Linked DNA regions of Rhinolophus ferrumequinum. The protein of the gene in region 1 interacts with the protein of each later gene in a biochemical or structural test. Links are inferred from orthologs where the notes say so. Each region holds a gene or a part of one and is shown on either strand. Other genes may lie near its edges. The genes, in order: KBTBD8 and NOLC1.

Region 1 (3,916 bases):
TGTTAACACTAAAATTTCTGCTTTCTTTCGTAAGGCTTGCAGCCTATGAGGCATTAAGAATAGGAATTACTATTCACATGTTACAGGTAAAGGAGCTAAGTGCTCAAGAATTAAAGGGTCTTATCTAAGGTCCCGCATTTAGTAAGTAAAGAGCTAGGGATTCAGTAATCGTCCCTGGCTCCAGGCTCAAGGCACTCTCCAGTATTTCTTCAAAGGAAATCCCAGACTTGTATTTAGTATCTTAACTCCTCCATTTCACGGGAGCAAAAAGGAAAGCATCTTGAATCCCTCTATAAGGTTCACGTGCTCTTAAAGGTGGAACAGGTGTTCTCTGAGTGTTTGAGAAAAGCAAGGCACGACTGGGAGTTAAGATCCCGAGCAGCCCTTGTAACCAGACCAAGTTAATCTGTGGAAACCGAAGCACTCGGCCAAGGCGATGCTATTTCAATTGGGTGTCACAGGTGATTCATCAAAGATGGGTTGCTTTTGGGCCTCCTGATATTTTTCTTCAGGGTGGGGTGTCAGATTTCCTTCGCAGTTTTGGACAACAGCCCTCTTCTCCATTTCCAAGTTTTTTTGTTTTTTTGTTTCATAGCCTGCTTTCATACCGGAAGCTAGTCATTGGCAGGAGGTTTAAGGAATGAAGAGCAAGATTAAAAAAATAAATAAATAAATAACCCGGGGGCCTGAGGAAGGCCTAAAATGGGGAAATTTTCACTTCAAGAGCTTTCCCTACCCTAGCCTCTCAGAATGACAGCTCTCTTTCGCCAGAAGACTACCTCTCCCGACAGGCACTGCGCGCTCCACGGACACAGGCTGGCAGGCTCCCCACTCTCCACCTCCGCCAGAACCAGCCAATAGGAATACCAGACTTGGGCCTCCGCCCGACCCGGACCACGCGGGAGAGAAGGCAATAAAACTACATTTCCCGAGGTGTCTTGCGCACGTTGTGACCAATCAGCGCCAGGAATACGGAAGGCTAGGGGTGGAGCCGGATGCATAGGCCACCCCATTGGCTAAGGGAAGCTTAGAAGAGCCGGAACCCGGGAGAGAGAGAAGCGAAATGACATTTCCTCTTTAAATAGCTGGAGCCGGGGCCCCGTGGAGAAATGGCCGCGTCGGCAGGTGGGTCGTATCGTGGCTAGGAGGTGTGTTGCGGGGGAGGTGGGCCGGGGGACGGGCTCAGGCTGGGAGCTGTGAAGTGGAGATGCGGAGCCGGAAGAAAGGATGGAGAGGTGAAGAGGGATAAGGGGAGGGAGGATGGATGGCGTGGAAGGCGGTGGGCGGTCCGGCCGGACAGGGATGGGGAGGCCGGGTACCCGCCGCCGTTCCGACACTTTCGGGTTGAATGGGTACTGGCGGCCGCCATCCATTGAGCGTCCCTCGTGAGGCTCCTGCCCTCCGCTCGGCTGGGACGTTCCGGCTCTCGGCACAGTCGCCACAGACACCTCGCCTGTTCTGTCCGCACGGTCCCTCCGCGAGCACGGGGCATCGGGCTCGCCTGGCTCCGGGAGCAGCAGGCTGGTGTTTGAACTTGCAACGCAGCTCGCTTTCTCCCAGATCCTACCTCACGGCCCCATTTGGTGGTGTATGTACACATACACGTATTTTTGTACGGGGGGGGGGGGGGCAAAAAACAAGCCAAGCAAACAAAGCAGGGAAAAAAAAAAAAAAAAAGCCCGCTACGCCGTAACTGGTTCCGAACTTACTGTGGTTGTACGATTTTCTCCTCCTAGATTTAAATAAGTCTTCCCCAACACCGGATGGGATTCCATCTTCAGACACAGCCAACGATGCCATGGACCCCTTCCATGCTTGCAGTATTCTTAAGCAACTCAAAACAATGTACGACGAAGGACAGTTGACAGATATTGTAGTGGAAGTGGATCACGGGAAAACATTCTCCTGTCATAGAAACGTTCTTGCTGCAATCAGCCCTTATTTCAGGTATGATAATGGTAGAAACTTCTGTTGATAACCGCATCAAGTTCCCTTTCTCCCTCAGCATTGGCCATTTCATTACCACACTGAGGAGCTACAATGAAATGAAACCAATGAGTTTGTTTCCTAAAATAGGTCACAGGCCCTGTTTTTTAAACTCTTGTTTTTGACTTGTTGGATTCTTTTAGAATTCAGGTGGTTGTTTTTTAAGTTAGTGAATATTGTTTTGCTTCTTTGTTTCAGGTAAATGACCAGAAAATCTAGAACTGCATTGCCCAATATAGCAGCCACTAGCCACAAGCGGCCTTTTAAACTTTATTTACAATTAAAATTAAAATTTCAGTTCCTCAGGCACACTAACCACATTTAATGTGCTCAGTAGCCATATACACAGCCCAGATATAGAGCATTTCTATCACTGAAAGTTTTATCGGACAGTGCTGGTCTAGAATTTGTTACAAAATTTTATCCATGGTGCATATTTCTGTAGTGCATGTAACTCCTTTAGAGTTTAAAACGTGATAGCCTGTTCTTTTGAAAACAAATCACCTTACTAGGTTGTTTAAATACCATGGGTGTGTGTGTGTCGGGGGGTGAGGATGGGGGTAAAAGCAGTGACATAAAAATATAGTTTCTGTGTATTTCATACTTCAGACTAGTGATTTTTTTCCCCAAGATTTCCAGAAGTATTTTTAAGCTAATTTTTCATTTTCATTTATACACATCTTTGTATATCACAAAACTTTGAAAAGTAAATTTTTAAAACTTGAGTCTAAAAAATAATTTCATACTCTAAGAAAATATCAGTGATAAAGGCAGTTTCCTGCTTGAGTCTAAATTCTTTTGTTTCAAGTGCTCACTTTGCAAAGCCTTTCAATGTTCAATAATGGTGCATGAATGACAAGAAATAATTTTCTCAATCACACTCTAAGTGTGCTTTTTCCTTTTGAAGGTGCTTACCTTTATAGGGCATATAGCAGTATAGTATTCCAGGCAGTAGTTTCTGGTTCCTCTTTCTCAGAATACTGGGTTAAATATAGTCACTTCAGTCAGATACTTGTGATTTAACTGTTTAGACTTGCCTAGGGTAGGTCATTAGACTATTAAGTATTAACTATCACAAGACAGTGAGCTGGAAAGAAAAAAGAAGAAACTCATACAGTACACAGAAGGTATAAAGTTTGGCCTGGTAATGAAAACTGCTGGTGAGATTCACTTATCCAGACTGTCCATTAGATATGGGTAGGTCATTTATGCATTTAAATATATGTCATAATTAACTACTTATCAAGCTGTTGGCTAAGCTTACTTTATATATATTGCTTTATATAACTTTACAATTCTGTCTGTGCATAGTTATTGCCATTTTTCATATGAAAAAAATCCTGAGGCTCAGGGAGGTTAAGTGGCCTATCTAAATCACCTATTAGTAAGGGGCAGCGGCTGGATTTGATTCCAGTGCCAGGCTTCTTTGTCACTATATGACTTTTAAGGAACGAGAGTGGGTCCTCTTTAAAGTTGCCTTTCAGAAGTTTTTATTACATTAGATTTGAATAGTAAAAAACCAAACAAAGAAAAAAAACCACACAGGAAATATTTAGACTTCAAAGTAAAAATGTCTGTATATTACTGAAATGTTATGCTCTTATATCATTTTGGTGTCATACTTAATTAAAATTAGTTTTGAAGACCTAGACCATCACAAGACACTTTAAAAGAGAATATGGTATAATAGATTTTAATTTCCAAGAAGTTAAGGAAATGCTTAAGCATCAGATACATGAATTCAAATGAAGATATTTGGCTAGAAACGTAAGGATTGGGTTTTTATGTCTTACTAGAGGTTTTCGTACAGAAGTTTTTTGGCCCAGTGCCGCTCCCTATGTGAGATCTAGAAAGGTATAACAATAGTTTCTAAATCTTGCATCACTGGTGGAAGAATTAGAATAGCTTGGAATCTGGCATGACTGTCTCA
Region 2 (3,916 bases), on another chromosome or scaffold:
CAGGAGGTAGAAGGGTTATTATCAGGACTATAGTTTGAACAGATTGCTGCTGTGTCACCCAGGTTTGCTGCACAACCCCTTTTACCTTCATGGAACTAACAGACTGAGTAAGGAGGGGAAAGGGTTGTCTTATGGGCAAGACATGAGTGAGGGAGGGACAGTTTTGGGGATCAACACTCCACCTCTACCACGGATAATCTGAAGGATCCTTTTTCATAGAGGTGGGAATCCAGAGGCTGGGGTGGTATCTGAGAAAGGGTCTCCCTAGGTGTTGGAGGCGGTGAAGATAAAAGGGTGGGAATCCTTTGGTAGCGAGGAGAATGGGGGCGGTTGGGAGATCTTATGCCGGGCTAGAGCAGGGGTGTCAAAACTGCAGCCTGCAGGCCAACTGCGGTCCGCAATCCATTGTTAATTGGCCCACAGCAAATTCCAAAAATATATTTAGTTTACTTAAATAAACCAGGTGAGGCAGTATGTACTGCACCTGGAGTGAATGGCCCAGCTGTTTGTGTATTTTTCCACATATGGCCCTTGGTGAAAAACGTTGAAAAAAGGTTGGACACCCCTGATCTAGAGAGTCCCAGGATAGCTCGAGCCCACGGGTCCACATTACTCTAGAATCCGAATCCCAGCTAGGGCGCTGGAAAACTGCTGCTGGGAGAAAAGGTTCCTCCTGGAGAAAGACGGCGCGGGAAGTCCAGAGTTTTCCCGCCATGGCCGTGGGCGTGACCCCTTACGTCAGGGCTCCGCCTTCACAAAGTGGCGGCGGCAGACTCCGCCCTTACCAAGATGGCGACACTCCTGGGACCGGAAAGAGTTTACAGATTTCGCCTTGACCCTGCCTCCAGGTGGAGGAGGGACTGCCCTGTGGGGTGTGCCCGCCCCTTCCGCTGTGCGCTCGCGCGGCGCGATGGCGTCACAGGGTTTGTCCTCGCGTCTCCGGGTTCTTGAGTTCCTCTGTCGTGCGTGTCGGGAACGGTAGTGACGCGTATTGCCCGGAGGATGGCGGACGCCGGCTTGCGTCGCGTGGTTCCCAGCGACCTGTATCCTCTCGTGCTCGGCTTTCTGCGCGATAACCAGCTCTCGGAGGTGGCCAATAAGTTCGCCAAGGCAACAGGCGCTGTGAGTCCCGGGCTTGGGGCACGGGCCGGGTGGGATGACCACGGGGCTCCCGGCCCTGACATGCTTAGGTTGCCAGGTAGGTCGGTGGGGTCTGCCAGCACAGTGTCTGTGGCGCCTGTGCGGAAGTCTCCGCGGTGACTGGAGAAAGCCTGGAGCCCACGAGGTCTGATTAAATAGCGCTGAGTCTTGCTGCTTTTTTTCTGGTGAGCAGTGCTCTGGCGGCAGCGTGGGACCCTCGTGGCCCAGATCACGTGGCTGGCGAGTGCGGCGTGGAGGGAGTGCCCTGTACCACCGGAGGGAGGCATTGGAGACTCCTGGTTCATTCTTTGGGCCTTACGTTGGCTGATGCCAAGCGTGACTAGATTTTAATTCTTAATCGAATTTATCCTGGATTCAAATATAAATAAAATTGCTTTAGAAGCCTGGGGTTTTCGTTAGTAAAGAAAATGAACGAGAGTAGAGGCAGGGTTCTGTTTTCAGTTATACTGAAGTGGGATTGAGCCTCATATCCCTACCAAGCAGGCACAGCAGTGGGCTTGGATCTTTGACTTGTGGAATCAAACACATACAGGTTTGGGACCAGGCTCTGCCGCTTAAAGATGTATGACTCCAGCTTGCTTAAACTGGATCAGTTTCTATTTCTATGGGGATATCGTCATTCACTTTATAGGATTTTTGTAAGTTTCAGTAACCTGTATTCAAAATGGCAATCGCAGTGCCTGGTGCTCAGGAAGCATCAGTGAGCGAAAGCTGTTATAGTTTTGGTAACTGAAGATGTTCCAAACAGTAAAAGGAAGATGACCAGGGATGTAAAAGGTTTGGAAGCTACGTCTCAAGAAAAACAGACATGACTGTATGGGAAAAAACCTTAAGAGAGGGTAGAGTGTCTCGCAGTGCTAGTCATTGACGAAGAAGATAAACTTGTTATTTGATGCAGAATCAGGCTGCACAAGTTGAGAATCCGATCAGCCTCAGAAAGGACTTCCTTAAGCTGGGGCATGCCTTCCTTAAGCTGCCATGTGATCCGATATAACTGCTTTCATATTGGAACTGGAATTGACTGTTAGGGAGGCTGCAAAGAATGTTTCCACAATGGACTGGATGGAATTGGCCCTTTCAGAATTGGGATTCTTTTTTATGTGTCAAAAGCTAATCTTTGTGGAGGGCTTACTAAGGGCCAGATGTTTTCCAGATGCTAAACCCTTTATGTGCCTTATCTCATATCCTCTCAACAACTTAAAATGTGTAGTGTTAGTCATCTCCATTTTATAGAGAAGAAAACAAGCTTAGATTAAGTAGTTTGCTCATTTAACTCGGAGCCTGTACTCATGTGTACTGTAATGCCTTGCCATTTTTTGCATCAGTAATACAGAGGGTGCCAAAAAAATGTATACACATTTTAAGAAAGGAAAACTATTAAAATTGTAATAATCAATATATACCAATAACAAAAGATGAATTCAAGTCTTGTTTGACTTCTGCAATTACAAGAGGTGCTCAAAGTGGTTACCATCAGCACGTCCAGACACTTCCTTTTTTTTTTTTTAATGTAAGAGAATAAATCCACTTTATTCAGTTTTCAGTAAGTTTAAATCCTTGAGGGGTACAGCATTACATGGATTCTGTGTCCTATGGCCTTAGCAGGAAGGTTGCTTTGGCATTTGGCATGAACCATGCCACTGTTTCCATGGAGTTACCTTTCCCCAGATTACTCTGGTTTTGTTCGGTTTGCCACCAGGAGTCACTGTTGTTCTTTGCCTTGTACACATAAGCACATTTCTTGCCTGGGTAGAATTCAGTTTCATCCCGAGCATAAACACCTTCAGTTTTAAGAAGAGTTGTGTGCATTCTCTGGTTCTGTAGACCCGCTTATAGCTAGCAAAAATGGCTTTGTACCAGCCTTCCAGACATATTTGTTGTTTTAGAAGTCCTGTTCCCAGCAGGCCTCCACAGGCTCCAAGATCCAGACACTTCTGATTACAGGCGAACTATTGCTTGAGCAACATTGACCAAAGTATCCACTTGTATACATTTTTTTGGCACCCCCTGTATATACTAGTGTAATTAGTAGCTGGATGCAATTCTGTACTGAATACATGACATACATAGCTTTTTACCAATCTTTTCTTGGAGGCTGTTTTCCAGTGATTTGGTTTTATAAATCATATTGCAGCAAACATCCTTTTTATAAATGTTTGTGCCCTTGTTTCATGGGTAAGATAAATTCCTAGATAATACGTTGTTAGAGTAAGGGAAATGCACATTTTAAAAATCTTTGATAAATAGGATGGACAGGTGAGGGATACATGGTGCCAGAAACTATAAGACTAGCCCAAGCTTTTGGTACCAAAAATTGGGAAATACATGAAGAGAATATTTTTTTCCTAATTTGTGAAAGTAGGAGAAGTCACACAAAGTTGTAACATTTATGTGAACTATAGCAGGTATAAAGCAGGTCATTTAATGAGAGAATAACAAAATCTGATCTCCCCTAGAATAACCAGGATAAAGGATAAATTATTTTTACCCAGTCTCTTTTCTTTTCTCCTACAGACCCAACAGGATGCCAACGCCTCTTCCCTCTTGGAAATCTATAGCTTCTGGCTCAAGTAAGTGTTCTGTGTACCACTGTGGCTATTTTCTACCCCCAAGTGGGCTGGAATGTGTTCCTTGGTTTGGGAAGGAACTTCTGATCATCCAGAAGTTAGCCTGATCTACCTCAGCAGGTCCACCAAGGCTCCAAAGCGGAAGTTACAGGCAAATGGACCAGTGACTAAGAAGGCTAAGAAGAAGA

The links.
Region 2: the proteins of KBTBD8 (region 1) and NOLC1 form a complex in vitro, tested with the Homo sapiens proteins (2 studies listed by BioGRID). The link is inferred for Rhinolophus ferrumequinum from reciprocal best matches to the Homo sapiens genes KBTBD8 and NOLC1.

Annotation. Positions count from the first base shown.
Region 1 is NC_046300.1:60,788,887-60,792,802, forward strand, and holds the start of KBTBD8 (kelch repeat and BTB domain-containing protein 8), read left to right. Parts: upstream 1-1,043; 5' UTR 1,044-1,109; coding exon 1,110-1,125; intron 1,126-1,452; exon of another isoform or gene 1,453-1,588; intron 1,589-1,736; coding exon 1,737-1,947; intron 1,948-3,916. UniProt on the Homo sapiens protein: Substrate-specific adapter of a BCR (BTB-CUL3-RBX1) E3 ubiquitin ligase complex that acts as a regulator of neural crest specification.
Region 2 is NC_046299.1:22,809,363-22,813,278, reverse strand, and holds the start of NOLC1 (nucleolar and coiled-body phosphoprotein 1), read left to right. Parts: upstream 1-915; 5' UTR 916-1,002; coding exon 1,003-1,122; intron 1,123-3,675; coding exon 3,676-3,731; intron 3,732-3,845; coding exon 3,846-3,916. UniProt on the Homo sapiens protein: Nucleolar protein that acts as a regulator of RNA polymerase I by connecting RNA polymerase I with enzymes responsible for ribosomal processing and modification.